Astyanax mexicanus: one gene and its partner. The protein of the gene in region 2 interacts with the protein of the main gene of each other region in a pairwise test. Links are inferred from orthologs where the notes say so. Each region holds a gene or a part of one and is shown on either strand. Other genes may lie near its edges.

Region 1 (8,300 bases), on a different chromosome or scaffold from region 2:
TCACAATCCTGCTAGTGCATTCTAAAGAACCAGTGGGCATAAGCAAAGGGCAGAGGCACAAGTTGTGGCTCTCTAGGCTTTGACTCTCATGGACCGGGAGAGATGACCGATCCTCCGCCCAGCCCTCGCAGGACAAATGGAACAACAGATTTCCAATAATGTTATGGAGTGAAAAGTACGAAAGTACCAAATTTAAGTAAAATGTCACAATGAACAGAAATACTTTAGTAAAGATACTTTAAAACTTATTTAAATATTGTGAGAAAATCAATTTGTTAATTCAGAATCAAACTGTGAGCAGAATGACTTGCTACACCACCTCTATCCACTACATTAGAAAAATAAATGTAGACTTACTCGCTTATTGTTTGGACTCGAGGAACGCACATATCTTCGATTCGCAGAATTCGGATGGAGAAAATACTATGACTAAAACAAGATAGACAATTTGAGTTACATTTTACATCACTTTATAAATCATTTCTGCTTGTTAAACTTCATAATAAACAAACAATAGTACAAACACTACCTTCTGCTGGAAACACTGTTGAGCTTTGTAGAAGAAAAGCTCTGATTTTTCCTCCCAATCTTCAAAACTCTGTAGGCTTCATCTGCACTGTTAACCTGAATCCATGTCAGATCTGTGGAAAAGTCAAAGAAGCAGTTCCAGTAAAAGTAAAAAAAAAAAGTATAGAGTATAAATCAAGTGTTTTAAAGTAAACACCTTAAAAAATGAATCTTTCACAATGTAAGCAGCAAAGAAGCACCAGACTAATCATCAATCTATCCACTTACCTTTGACAAACGTGTTGCCTTTGACATCTTGGCAAAGCCGAAGTACGCTCCTTCTCTGAGAACTACTCGAGGCAAAGTCAAGCAGATCATGTATGTTTTCATTGTAAATCTCACAGAAGGAGACCCAAACTGAGAACTTCACATGAGAGTCTTCCTCCAAACAAAGACTGTCTTCATTTAGATCACTGCAGCTGGAACCTACAAGTGAAGGAATAACCGAAATCACTGTCTATTGCCTTATCTAAACAAAAACTATAAATACATAATAACAACAACATAAATTTAAATGATTCTTACCCTCAAGCAGTGTGCTACAAGCAGAATTTGACATACTAGAGCTGCTTTTCTGCAGATCATTCTACAAAAAAGGAAGACAAAGGGCACATGTAAAATAAATAAATAAATAAATAAATAAAAAATGCATGAAAATGTACAAAAATTTATAATTAATTATTTCTATCAAGATATAAAATACCACACATCAAGAGGCAGCACTTTAAATGACAGTAATTTAAGTAAATATAAATACTATAATACTATAAATTACTATTGACTATATAACAATTATGCCCTCATCATTACACAATTATAAACATTCAAAACTAAGTTTGTTTGTTTTTTGTCTTCGTCACAGAACCTAAATAATCATATCAAATCAAGATGATGTTTTAAATTATGAAGAACTAAAGAGTTTTCTAATCAAATTAAAGCGTCAGCAGTTCAGAACCCTTATTAGTAGGGGTTAAGGAAAATATTGATAAACCAAATGTGTTGTGAAATTACATTTTGCAATACTGTACTGATTCTCAAAAACAAATTATTAAGAGTATATATTTATATTTTAAACCCTGAGTGCTAGATAGAAGTGTTGTACTCTTCAGATCCCACTGTTCTTGTAAACGTTTTTGCTCAGATTTTATAGTCGTGTGTTTTTAAACAATGACAGTGTTCCTAAAATTTGACTTTTTGAGATCACAATACAAAGTCTTGCTTACAGAATCACAATATATTAACTAATAACCGCTATATTGTGATATGAAAGAAAAACAAAATAATAATAAGTTATACCTCTTTATATCTTCTCAGAAGGTTTTTCTTAATTGTAGCCTCTGCATCCTGCTGATCCTTAGTCAGTCGAGTGAAGTCTATGCAGCGGTGGGGCTTGATGTTATTCTGAGTGTAGATTCTTCCCTCAATACTATTAAAGATCACTTTCAGTGACCTTGGCAGAATTCCCACATCGGTTTCAGGTCCTTAGAAAAAGATGCGGAAAATGGATTACATATATTATATAAGTTAACATTCCAATTAAAACAAAAATGAGACCTAAAAGAAAAAAAAACTCACCTAAAAATGTGAAAGTTTTCCCTGCATTAGTAACCCCATAGGTGAAAATCAGGGAATTTTGTCCTGCCAGAACATCTTTCACAAGAGCTTTTGTTGTTCCATCAAATATCTGCCTTTGTGTAGTTTCTGGACTATACACCTGCACAATATCATCAGTTTTAACAAAACATGATTAACACAGGGTTAAAGGTTTTTCACTGTGCCAGATTTTACAGGGTAGATGAACACTATTTAGACTGTGTACCTTTGAGAACTGAAATCTCTGTGCAATTTGAGGTCCTAGTTTCTCACTTTGCCTGGCTGTTAGAGATGATCTTGGAGCCTTTAAAACCACAGTGTCTGGAGACTCGATTGAAATGCAGTCCTAGTCAGGAAAATCACAGTTAAAAAAATATAATTACAGTTCTACCATCTGCTTACACTATTACAGTTATGCTTTGCATCTAAAATTTAACACCAGCTTATTATAAATATTTCGATACCTGTGATTCACCGAAATCACTCTCTGTGGAGGTAAAAGGGCGTATCCTGAGGTAGACCTGCAAATGCTCCCTCTCCAATAACACAGAGTCCTATAAAGCAAAGCATGGTTCGTTGTATAAAAAAAATGCAGATTTTGTTCTTAATTGTTATATACAAAGAAAAATGTAAAAGAAAATCTCAAAAATAATTTGTGAAATGTAACCAACAACAATAAAAAGGTAGTCATTTATTAAAATGGCTAAAACAGAATCAGGTGCACCGAAACAAAATGTGGGGCAAGATAATTTAATTGTTTTCTGTATATAATGAAAATCTACTTTATTTTGGCTCAATCTGATGGAAGATTCTGTACTTGACATTGAGCTAGACAATATAATAAATCTTTTATTGTGTTGCAATAAATATTTTTATTGTATCGACAATAAGCATATTGAGGATATCATCATTACTTAAAGAACAGCGACCAAACTGTACAGTTCATTACAGAGAGTGTAAATTGTATTGACCATGTGCAACCAAATATCCAGATGCAAGATGAGCAGCAAAAATTAAATAAGAATCAATGTACAGTGCATGAAAGAATATTTGACTAGGAGAATCTGATGCATTTTGTCTGCTTGAGTACTGGGTATTGTGAAAATGTCTTTAAACATTGTGATATAATATTGGTACCATATCACCCAGCTCTGTTGGTTTGTAATTACATACACCAATGGTTGTGGCTTTTATACGGTTAATATCAATATCAGAATTGTTATAGATGAAATATATTGTGATATTAGGGCTGGGCAATATGACCCTAAAATATCACCACCATATGTTAAGGTGTTTTTGAGATAGCAAACTTCTTGACAATAGGACAATTTATTCATTTAAAAATAAACTGCAGCAGAACTCATTTAAAATAAATTTTAAAATAAATCAAAAATAAATACATTATTTTATTTTCTACATTCAGTAGAGAGAAAAACATCTATAACCATTTGTCAATTTTGCAAACAGTAGCTTATCAATACTGATTTTGCATAAAACAAAATGTGACAAAAATAATAAACAATGTAGAAATAATAAAGCAATGTGGCCACAAAAGTGCAGCATATTTAGTGCATACATATAAACTGCAAACAAACAATCAAAACAAAAATAAATATGGTAAATATATAGCAAATCAAGCACCAATTAGACAGCTGTCAACAATACTGTATATATTATGATATGGAGTTTTTTCATTGTGTCTAAAATGTTGGAGATATTATTGCATATAATATGATACATCATAGCACACTCCTGCGTGATACAGATTTTTGCCAATTCATCCAGCCCTATTTTGACACCAACTGTCAAGGTTGAATTTCCTGGGACAGCTGGACCTGACTGATTTTATAGATAAAATTAAGATTAAATATCCATAAATATAAAGATCCATTAATATACTCTATAAGTCTTGACATGGATTGGTGGTAACACTTGGTGGTAACACTTGTATACAATGTAGTAAACTATACCAGGTCTAGTATTAGCTGTTACAGACAGAGACGATAAAAGATGAAGGTTAAGCAGGGAAACAATACCTGGGTTGTGGGTATTTTGGAGAATTCGACAAACAGATCTTTTCTCAGATCTTCCACAGTGACAGCTCCCACTCTCTCCGGTTTATAATTCAAGCTGGACTCCATGACTCTAAAAGAGACAAAGAGAAACAGACCTCAGTGAGGAACATCAACACGCTGCTGATCAGCATGTAACTAATGAATAGAGCAGTGTGAGTATACCAACGCTAAGTTACCTACCTTAAATAACGCTAAGACTTCCCTGATTAATCGTTGCTACCGCTGATAGACTGTATCCATAGTAAAAGAAGCGGAGTGTGATGATAAATTAGTTATTCATCTTATTATTTAACTAGCAAACCAAGCTAGCTTAAAACACAGTTGAAAGGACGTAACCTAGCGTAGCCAGCCTAGCTAACGTTAACCTGCGTCTATCCTACACGCTTCAAAAGCAGCTCAAATAAGCTAAAACGAACTAAAACGCATATTGGCTGTGTAACTACAGATAAACTAACACGCAACTATCCCTAGCAAGACTATTTAGCTAGTTTTAAACCGGTTTAAATCTAACCCTGTTCATAATATGTACCGAGCGCCTAGTTTAGTACTGTTGTGTTCACGGCTGCCGCGGTCCTCCGTTCAAATCGCACCAATCAAATTGCTTCCAGCGAGCCGCAGTGGCCGTTGGGACCGGAAGTCACGAAGATGTAGTTTTAAGCAGTTCGACTTGTGGTAAGATTTAATGGACTGATGTACACATATGAACTACAATTCCCAAGAGCAGCCATCAAAATCGCAAACCCACATGTTTAAACAGTGTCCATGCTTCAACAAGCTGTACCGCTCGCTAGCATTGTAAGTTAACTAGCTAGCTTAATAAGTTAGCAACGCTGCATGGCTACAAAATAATTACAATTACAATATTGCTAGAGAAAGCCTGTTCTCTGTCAGATATTACTCTCAGCATTATAAACCCATGTGTATATTTGTTTTTGGCTGTGTTGTAAGTAGCTACATTGGTTAGCTAGCTATCCTAGGTTAGATATCTAATTTGTATTTAAAAAAAGGAATATGTCTGTGTTTATGGATTTAAACATCACCGCTGGCACTGACAAGGCAAAGTTCCAGAGCACTATTGAGACCGCCGCTCACCGTAAGTTTCACTTTTAGACAGTTCACTAGTGTTACATAACGTATCTGGAACCACTGGGATTTTCAGTAGCGTTAGCGTGTTTTCTGACACATGAGCTCAACTTGGCTGGCAATGAAGCGCTAACTTGAGTTGAAGGAGGCGTGTTTGTTTGTAGGAAAATCCCTACACTCTGTAGGAATTCGACCTCCACCACTTGAGTCCCATTATACTGAGATAAAAATGATAATAAGTAAAACATTGTTTGTCTGTGTATTTCTATACAGATACAAACTATAACCAGGTGCTAAATATATAATATAGATGTAGTTTAATTATGCAGACGCTATAAAATCTGTGTAAAGTTCCTTAAAGCACTCTCCATTATTTGAACATGTACTGAACATCATCCTGAAAACATCACTAGAGGACAGTGTGTGAATCTGTGTTTGTTTACCTTTATATACAGCTCTTATATAAAAATAAATAAAATAAATATAAAAATAAAGAGACCACTTCAGTTTCTGAATCAGATTTTGCCATTTATAGTTATGTTTGAGTAAAATGAACAATGTTGTTTTATTCTATAAACTACAGACATTTCTCCCAAATTCAAATATAAATATTGGCATTTATTTGCAGAAAGTGAGAAATGGCTGAAATAACAAAAATATGCAAAATAGTTTTCAGACCTCAGATAATGCAAAGAAAACAAGTTCATATTCATAAAGTTTTAAGAGCTCAGAAATCAATATTTGGTGGAATAACCCTGGTTTTTAATCACAGTTTTCATGCATCTTGGCATGTTCTCCTCCACCAGTCTTACATGCTGCTTTTGGTTTTGGATTGCTTGTGATCATTTGTTTTCCTCTTGAATGTGTTCCATATGTTTTCAATTTGGTAAATTTAAAGAAACTCGTCATTTTAAATGGTCTTTTAATTTTTCCCAGAGCTGTATATATATTAAAGTAGCTTAACTTTATTGTCATTATAATGTACAAGTACAAAGCAATGGAATAATTTAGGTTTAGAATCTAACAAGAAGTGCAATAGCAGCAAAATATGCTTAATATAAATAGGTATGGATGAATATGAATATGGTAGTATAAATATGTTTTACAGAATATTTACAATGATTAAGAGATTGAAAAGACAATGGATTATGGTGTACAGATTTACAGTGTATATTACAATAGGAGGGTATAAACTGTTTTTTTTTTTTATAGATACAGCGATGGTAAACGAAATATTGATATATATATATATCGATATTTTCTTACACGATACACTACTATCCATGTATCATCCACTGTTATTTACAGATAAGGTAATTTATAGTAATAGTTATTATCCACAGATGAGGTAGTAGTTTATTGTGAGGTAGTTATCAGTAACACTGAACTGCAGGTTTCTTTCTCTTTCAGTTGGCTACTCCACAGTTGCAATAAATTATGTAGTGGAGGGGCAAAAGAAGAAACAGGTATTTTACCTCACCAAACGTCTTCAGAATGCTATTAACCCGATTCATTATTTCTCAGCTAACTTCGTTCTCATGTTTGTGTTGATGTTGAATGCAGCTAATTCCGACTCCGCAACCCTTAGCAGAGCTCTTTGAGACGTTTCCAACAGTACAGGTAACTTTACAAAATCTCACTATACACAATCTATGTGGGAGTCTTTTTTTCTAGTTTTCTAATTTCTGCACTCTCGTTCACATGTAGGGAAAATCCAGACCTATTAAAGTGCTGAACCGATTGACAGTTGTGGCCACAGATGCCTCTCACTTTGTAAGTGCAATTGAAATACTAAGTAATCATGTTGTTATGAACTGCAGTCACAGAAATCTGATTTTTAAACTGATTATATTTGTGATATTTACTGTAGAGGCCTACTAATGAATACAAGAATTTTGACCTTTTGGCCGTTCATCCCAAAACAGACAAACTCTTCCATGTAAGTTCAACTTTTTCTGTAAATATGTAAATTTATATTGTTGTCCCCTCTAAATATTTCTTCTCTTTGTTTAGTTCTGTAATATCCTGCAACTTTACTTTGTCTTCCAAAATGACAAACATGATGTTGTTTTTTTCTAAAACTCTGCTGAAACTGTACATGCATAATGATGTGGATTATATATAAAAAGTTTTATTTATGTGTGTATTGTGTGTTATTGCAACAGGCAGCCTGCATGAACTATGATGTGGATATTATCTGCATATCAGCCACTGAACCACAGTCCTTCCATTTCAAGAGGTCACCGGTAAACGGGGTGAGTAGAAATGTAAAATATTACTTTATTAATATATAGCTTTGGTTACACTATATGCTTACTACATTGTAGTGTGTGTGTGTGATCTGATTCTCTCTAGATAACCTCAATAAAAAAACTAAAAAGTATTTGAGACTAAGTTATAGAAAATGTTATTCTAAAATTAATTTAATATTAATATAATATAATATTATATAATACTATTTTTTTTATTGCCATAATTATATGAAATTAACTTAAAATAAAATATCATATTACAAATGTAAGAATTGTGAATTTGTGCTCTTCTCTGTTGATTCTCTAAGGCTATTGAAAGGGGAGTGTTCTTCGAGATAAGCTACTCAGCAGGCATTAGAGACCCCACCATGAAGAAGTACACCATCACAAATGCCGTCAATCTAATATCTGTGTGCAAGGGAAAGGTAATGTAATATACCATATTTACTGTCACTGATAAAAAAATGTAAACTAACCTGATATGTTTAAAAATAAATAAATCCCTATTTATTTTCTCAGAATGTCATTGTGGCCAGTGGGGCAGAAGCGGTAAGAGCACTGATTTCGGGGAAATATATATATTTTAAAAGCTTTTAATATACAGCCACATACTTCTCTTTTTTTGATGGTCAGTGCAGATGTTTTGTTAAGCTGTATTTTATTTCTGTTTTCTCATTTAGCCTCTTAACTTGCGTGGTCCATATGACATTGCCAATCTGTATCCTTTACT
Region 2 (8,027 bases):
CCTCTGTGTCTCTTGCCCTTCTGCTTCTCCTGCACTTTCCTGGTGAAGTGCTTGTATGCCTCTGTCTGCTGATACTTCTCCAGCTCCCTCATGTAGCGCTCCTTGTCTTTCTCTGCCTCATCTAAATAGCGCTGCATGGAGAGAAACAGAGTCAACTCTTTTTTTCCTGAGATTTAATCCATGCAGAAAACACAAACACACATTAACAGTACGCACAACCCACCCCACTGACACCCATACAAACTCTGCACCCTGCACTTTACTTTACACTGCATCTATCAGACTTTTCCATATTATACAGCATTCTGCCCCCTGCACTCCCCACTCAACTCATTCCTTACCTGCACTTACTCATAGCTATACTGTGACATACTGACTACTTCCACACTATCCATATCTACATCTGTGCATATCTGTTCTGTGCAATATTTGTCTATAGTGTAAGTTATCATGTTTATTGTAATTAAGTGTATTGTAAATAGTGTTTATACTGTAAGTTATCTGTATGTCCTATTTTTATATATTTTATATTATTTTATTACTCTCTTGTAAATATTATTCTTTGCGCATTGGTGGGAATCTGCACCCAAGTTTTTCACTCACATGTACACCTGTACTCTGTGACGTGACAATAAAAATCTTGAATCTTGAATTGAATCTTGAATCACATGTGCCCAGGGAAATGGGCAGCATTTGTTGTAGTGTCCAGAGAACAGAGAGGGTTAAGGGCCTTGCAGCAGCTTAGCAATCTCTTCGTATGTATATATTTTTCGATTTGCTACATTTTAATTTTTTTTTTTTATAAAGTCTCCTCACCTGTTTCTCATCAGGCGGCAGTTTGCTCCACTCATTGCCAAGCATCCTGGTGATTTCTGGGAAGGGTACGTCCGGTCTCTCGGCACGCAGTTGCTCCCGCCGATCATTCATAAATCGTACATATCCGGTTAGGGGAGCTTTGGGTGCATTGCTGTCCTTTAAAGGCTTCTTTCTCTTCCTTCCTTTAGTCCAACTTGCCCTGCGTGGTTTCTGAAGGGCCAGAGAAAGACAGTCTCTGAGACCAAATTCAAAATCTTAAAGTTTAAATCAAATCATTATTCATCCCTCTCTATCTGCATCTTCTACAGTGATAGAATACTCAGAAAAGACATCTCTATGCTGATAGAGAGAATGATTCTGGTTGATATGGATTATTTTATGTACTTTCATTTTATTCAAAATATTTAATTATCATTAATTACAGTGTTACCTCCTCTCCATTCCTCTGGCTGCTGTTATCTGTGTTCGCTCCAGGTGAAGCACTCTGCTCTTCCATATCTTGTTACTCTTCACACACTAAACAGAACTACAGAACATCACACACAGACACACACATACGATATACAATAACCATAAGGTCACATTCTGTATCTCTTTCACAATTTTTCAGGGCATTTTTGCAAGAAATATATTATTAGTAATATGGAAAAGAAACATGGAAAAATATTTCATTACATTTCAACAAATATTTTACTGCAATACAAAAAGAAAGTTTTATTTCATGTAAGCTTAACAGTTTCAATCATTCAGCAAAACAAACAAAAATCGATCGTTTTGAATATTAAAGTAATTTACAAAGCAATTTGTATAAACTAATGAATATAAATAATAAATAAATAAATAATGTAGCATGAATACAATTTAATGTAGCAAAACAATCTGTCACAATACTAAATTGCAGAATATTAAGTACTTGCACTTATCACATAATCTGCAAACATAATACCATACATAATACATTTTTGGGTGGTACTTCCTCAGTGGTAATCTAAAGTATAAAAGTATACTTTTTTACAAAATATTTCTACATATTCCTGTACAGCTTTAATGACTTCAATATTAAATTTACAACGCAAAATCATAAAAAGAAATTAAACACACTGAATGAGAAGAGGTAAACACGATATGGCACACTCCTCTTACTTATACCTACTAACCCAAGTCTGAACAAAGCACAAAATTCTGCTATTTGTGTTTATTTTTGGGTATATCTTTATTACCTTTTATACAGCGAAACTGGCAAGTCTTGGCAGCATTGCAGACAATAAAATAAGTGTTAGTCTAATCAGTTAAGTTAGGGCAGTGTTTCTCAACCCTTTTTCTATCACGTCACCCTTTAAATATTTGCGAGATGTCAAGGCACCACAGTTTACGGGGGGGGGGGGGTGGGGGGGTGCTGGCGCAGTACTTCAGGTGAGAAGGGGGGGGGGGGATGCTGGCGCAGTACTTCAGACAACGAGGGGGGGGGGGTATGGGGGGGGCTGGCGCAGTACTTCAGGTGAGAACGGGGGGGGTGCTGTTGCAGTACTTCTGGTGAGAACGGGGGGGGGGGGATGATGGCGCAGTACTTCAGGTGAGAACGGGGGGTGTTGCTGGCGGAATATGAAATAAAATAGCGCGTCACAATTAGCGCGATTAGTGCTGCCTGTGATTTGGGACACACCCCGGCACCCTGGTTGAGAAACACTGAGTTAGGGCACTATCCAAGTCCAGGTCCGGGGGCGCCTCCCTGATTTTTTTTTTTTTTTTGCAAATTGGAATGTTATTTAACTTATATTCTCTATTTTTGAATTTGGTGCCTTATCAATATTCAGAAATGGGTATGGCCTCTTATGGGTTAAAGAATTTTCAGTTCCACTTTAAATTTTTCAGAATGTAACTAAGTTAGTTAACCTATCCTAGCTAAGAAACCATGTTTGGTAGTTAACTAGCTAATTACATTTGTTAGCTAACCTAGCGTTAGCTACCGCTAACGTTACCTTTTGTTGCCCGTCCCAAAACACCGAGTGGCTGTGTCCGAACCTGTAACGTTAGGTATTTGTCTCATTAGACTGTAGACAATATTTAGCAATCTGTGTTACAAACACATTACACTTACATTAAAAACATTATTAGCTAACTAAAACACTGACAACTTGCTGTCATAAATGCGGTCAGACTGAGGTAACTTACTAGGATGCGATATGAATGAGCGAAACAGACTAAGACATAAATACGTGATTTTCTGCGATCATAATACTTTATTTGTATAAATTTGAGACACAGCCTGTGTGGATATGCTGCACCAGTTAAGGTGGAATGAGAAATCCGAGTAAGAAAATTAAGTCAAATTCAGCCTCTGCGAAACATCTAGTTATCGCAGTTCTCCTGTAGCTACAGCTGTGACTGTAATCTGAACCTAATTAAAACCCTGATTATTAGAGTCTCTGCGCCGTGCAGGATAAACTCAGCTCATCGTGTTTAGACCCGCAGCAGCGACCCGACCGCAGCGGCTCCACAACACTACACTGAACTACAGCGCTTCTAACGGCGCTTCAGTACCAGAACACGGGCTGAGAGCAGCGCAGGCGAGCCCGCGGGGACAGTAAGAGAGTCACTGACCTGTATCTGACAAAATCGGAGTGTTTCAGGAGATTTTCTAAATAACAAACTGCACGAACCAAAACAATGCAAATAGCCACACGTCCGGCGTCATCACACGGCGACGGGTACGAGCTTGGTGGCGCTGTGGCCGCGGATGTACACAGTTTATGAATATGAAATATATTTAAAGTCTAAAGGCGGATTATTTGATCAATGTAATGGTGCGTTTAGATGTATTTGGATCAGAGTCGCGTGGTGCTTTTGGGATGTGTTATTTTGAGTCTACCGATTTGGACATTTTTCCCGGGGACTAGTTTGTGTGGCGGAGGGATATAGATCGGTGTTGGTGCATTCTCTCGCGAACTGACAGTGTGACCGTTGGCGCCCCCTGCTGAGACAGCGGGTTAAATACAGCCTGTAGTTTTCTATACTGTAGTCCCCAGATCAGCGCTTCATCATAAACTAAACAATATAAAATGGGGATAAATGGGGTGAATGCTTGTGATGGAATTCACGTGAGTTGTTTGTGAGTTCATTACAGTTAATGGCTGCTGTGGACAAAGTTGCAGCGTTTAAGGAGAAATTCGGTGTGAAATGGACTTGGGGTTTAGTGAAATATGATAAGTATGAACATTTGTTGAATATCTCACCTCCATTCAACCCCAGATTCTAAAATACAGCACTTTAGCGCATGCTCTGAACAGGCTTACAGTGCTAATGATAGGGACGTAGCGCTGCTTATGGCATTTCCAATGAATTAATTTGGCAGTCTGCTCTCTTATCCCAGCTATTCTTTCGTGCTTGTCAGTCAAATTATCATGACTTAATTTCAAGATGGCAGCATGCGGATAACTACCTCAGGGTACTGTGTGTATAAACAGTCTTTTTAAAGAACTGCTGGTGCACTTTTAAAGCTCTCAGTGCCTCATTTTAAATGTCAGGTCTTTTGGAATTCTACCAATAAAGTGTGGAGCTACTTTGATCTTGTTAATAGTGTAAAATTAGTGATAATGTTGTAAAATTAGTGAACTCTATGCCCCTTTTGCTAGCATTGTAAACCTGTTGGGATTATCGGCTAAAAGCGGTGAATAGAGGTGGACTATTCGACAAAAGTTTGTACTCATCATCATGTTTCACTTCACCCCAAGTCCATTTCACACCAAATTTCTCCTTTAACTTTCACACACAACGTTACATACTTATTCTAATTTATTTTACATTAATGGCATTTGTAGTGGCATTTTGTTGGTGTTAAATGGTGATGTTGGGACTAAGCAGGAACTAATGGATAGAGCTGCATTAACAAATAAATCAATTCTATTAACAACCAAATAACTATATAGCTTTTAATATATATTTACAATATAATCTCAGTTAATCTGAAAATAGTGCTTAAGTGATTTCCCAGGCTAAAGATTTTTCCATGATATAATATCCTTTTTTTTATGACATTTTCATCATGGTTCTGTAAAAACCAGAATCAAATGTGCTTATAGTCAGATACCAAAATACACAAAAGAAAAATAACACATACATTCATAAGTCAGATCCTGTGGACGTAGTAAAATAAAATAGTTAAGTTTAGAAGTAAACTTAGCCTGTCTATAAGGCCAAATAAGCTGCCCTCTAGTGATTGTTTTTAAGATTCTCTAAATAAATCAGTCAGGCCTCTTCCAAATCCCTGTATCAAAACTCCCTCGCTCTGTCTGTCATTGTCTTTAAATGTAATCAGAAAAGGCTTGTATCTTCAAAATGGCAACTTTACTGGAAAAGAGAAAAAAAACTTTTGTTTTCAATTAAATTAAAAGTAAAGAATTTTGGATTATTTATAGTAGTCCAATAATCATTAAATTCTAATATAATATGAATTTCCCAGATAAGTCAAATAAATATGTCAGCTGACATAAGTGAAACGTTTTTATATGTAAGCAACAATATGCATCATCTCTATAAATTACTAATCTGAATAATAATGAAGTAGCGCAATGGTCTTTTGAATAAGAAGTAGTATACATGTACATGTCAGGTTGTCAGTTAGAGGTGTGCTATCAAACTGTACAAAATTCTTTTTTTAGAAATAACAAAAATAGTGGTATTCTGTCTCAAAAGCAGTATAAATAAATTCTAGACAAATGTTTACAGATAGTTTTTTTTTTTCAAATTTTCTTTTTTAAGTTATACTAAATCGTCAATGACAACAACATAATTGCAGGAATTGGGTGGCACAGTGGCTTAGTGATTAGTAGTTTGCTTTCCAGTGCTGACATCTTAGGTTTAAGGACAAATTGGTAAATTGGATAGTTTAAATTCCCAGAAAAAATAGATTCTCTAATGACATGTAAATAAAATGTGGTTGCAATGATTCAATTTTGACTTTTCATTCATACTGACTGTTAATTAAAACTAAATTCCAATTACATCTTTATTGTTTATTATTTAACTGTTATATAATAAAACGTACTATAGATAGATAGATACCTGCTATCTTCTATACTTAATTTATTCTTTTAATCTATCTATCTATCTATCTATCTATCTATCTATCTATCTATCTATCTATCTATCTATCTATCTATCTATCTATCTATCTATCTATCTATCTATCTATCTATCTATCTGTTATACTTAAGCAATAGAACACGAGAGGGAGTGTGTTATCGCGAAATAAAGCATATTCAAACTGAATAAATTTTTTTTTCTTAAAGTTCAGTTTGATGATCTACGGCACGAGCCAAACCAAATCACAGCTGTAATGTTATTCGTGATAACACACAACCTCGAGTGTTCTATTGCTTTTATACAACTAAATAAATTACTAAATAAATAAAGAAAATAAATCAAAGAACTTTGAGAAATTCAGTTTGAATATGCTTTAATATGGACTGAGCCTTCCGCCAAAAAGTAGTTCCACCACAACTTAACTACATACAGTGTATGGTTCAGGCAGACTAACACCACGAAAGTTAGCTTGAAAGCAAAATTGGGAATAGTGAAGATGGTAACGTTAGGAGCGTGAAATAACACTAATACTCTCCTCTTCTGCTCCGTGGAGTCGTCTTCAGGTGAAAGCCGCGAATTTTAGCATTTCTGCTTATTTTCCTGGGTGGTGTTGGTTTTAGCTAGCTGGCTGGACTGTGGTTAGGTTAGCGAAGCTTGCTTTAGCTCAGCATTAACTTAGCTTAGCCTAGCCTGGCTGGTTAGCGTTCTGGCTGTAAGACGGAATTAACCGAGCGATTTTCGTTCCCTTTTTTCCACGAAAGACGAGCCAGCGCTGCGGGCGAGCGTGCCGCGGCTGAGCTCTAGTCTGTGCTAAGCTAACGCTGCTGCGGGTGTCCTGTGTATATACGCTGTTACTTTAGTGTGAGAAGGCCGTGATGTTATCATGAAATATCATCACGGCTAGATCACTTCTCAACCAATCAGATTGTGAGGTCGGAACTAACTGTTGTATAAAATATAACATACTATATTTATTATACTTAATGTTCACCCCATATGGCATTTTAATGTTCTTGTTGCATGTTTTTAATTTAAGCGAGCTGACGTTAAAACATGTCTGTATATACTGCGATTTTTCTAAAAGAAAGGTAACGGAGCTAACCATGTAAACTGTTATAAGATTATTTCTGATAGCTGGTTAAAAATACACAAATCAAACCCCAGAGATCAAACCCACTGTGAGCTTAATTAAATACAGTTTGTGATAGTCACTGTGACTTGTAGACTAGGATTACAGGATTACTGTCAGCTATAATGAAGGAAAATTCTTTTAGCTAGCCAAACTAGATACCTAGAAGCTGGATGTAGTGGATGGCCAGAATTTAGTACAATACTTTTTGTTGGTAGTTTAAAGCAGTTTCTTAACCCTGATCACTGCCCTGAAATTGTGTGTTTTCACCTGATCCATCATTTATTGAGTATCCCTTAGCCCCTTAGATTTACTAATGGAATATATCTGGTCCTTTGGTAAAAGCTCATGATAGACTAGGAGGGTTTGGGTTATCTAATGTTTATATTAACTTCTGCCAGAAATCTCTATGAAACATAAGGTTGCATTCTTTTACATAAAAGATTACCATGATAAGAAGTACTTTTAATCGAAACCCCCCCCCCCCCCCCCCCAAAAAAAAAAAAACCCAAAGGACCCTAAAAAAGAGTGGCGTAAATGTAAATACACAAATATATAACAGAATTGACATGTCAATAATAATAATAATAATAATAATAATAATAATTATTATTATTATTATTAAATCTGTTATATTGTTTTCAACATTAGGTGATACCTCAGCAGTTTTTTCATAATTAATTTATGAACGTATTTAATTCAGACATTGCACGCATACTTTTTTTTAACAACAGTAAATGTAAAGTGACCCTTACTTGAATGTACCTAATAATAAACAGAAGCACAGAAAATAATGGTTGATTTGTGATTAAAAGTATTTCCACAAATGTTGTTCTGAGACGCTGTAAGGTGGGCTTTGATTTAGATTAGCAGATGTGTCCCCCCCAATATCAAACCCACTCCTACGCCCTTGATTGGGTATATAGAAAGGTGCTATATGAGGCGCTTGTGTGTATAGAAAGGCACTGATGAAGTGTGATATTATGATAAATAGAAATAG

Evidence for each region.
Region 1: the proteins of hmg20a (region 2) and rpp30 interact in binary tests that used the Homo sapiens proteins (3 or more experiments, as listed by UniProt). The two-hybrid records come from large-scale screens. The link is inferred for Astyanax mexicanus from reciprocal best matches to the Homo sapiens genes HMG20A and RPP30.

Annotation. Positions count from the first base shown.
Region 1 is NC_064422.1:25,766,441-25,774,740, forward strand, and holds the start of rpp30 (ribonuclease P protein subunit p30), read left to right. Parts: upstream 1-4,972; 5' UTR 4,973-5,246; coding exon 5,247-5,328; intron 5,329-6,728; coding exon 6,729-6,784; intron 6,785-6,881; coding exon 6,882-6,938; intron 6,939-7,025; coding exon 7,026-7,091; intron 7,092-7,188; coding exon 7,189-7,257; intron 7,258-7,483; coding exon 7,484-7,573; intron 7,574-7,878; coding exon 7,879-7,995; intron 7,996-8,089; coding exon 8,090-8,119; intron 8,120-8,250; coding exon 8,251-8,288; intron 8,289-8,300. Other genes in the region: kif20bb (kinesin-like protein KIF20B), read right to left, coding at 358-429, 530-641, 796-993, 1,093-1,153, 1,864-2,048, 2,143-2,281, 2,387-2,506, 2,625-2,714 and 1 more. UniProt on the Homo sapiens protein: Component of ribonuclease P, a ribonucleoprotein complex that generates mature tRNA molecules by cleaving their 5'-ends. Also a component of the MRP ribonuclease complex, which cleaves pre-rRNA sequences.
Region 2 is NC_064409.1:44,231,722-44,239,748, reverse strand, and holds the start of hmg20a (high mobility group protein 20A), read right to left. Parts: upstream 3,558-8,027; 5' UTR 3,418-3,557; intron 2,839-3,417; 5' UTR 2,796-2,838; intron 1,343-2,795; exon of another isoform or gene 1,333-1,342; 5' UTR 1,313-1,332; coding exon 1,247-1,312; intron 1,027-1,246; coding exon 817-1,026; intron 132-816; coding exon 1-131. UniProt on the Homo sapiens protein: Plays a role in neuronal differentiation as chromatin-associated protein. Acts as inhibitor of HMG20B. Overcomes the repressive effects of the neuronal silencer REST and induces the activation of neuronal-specific genes.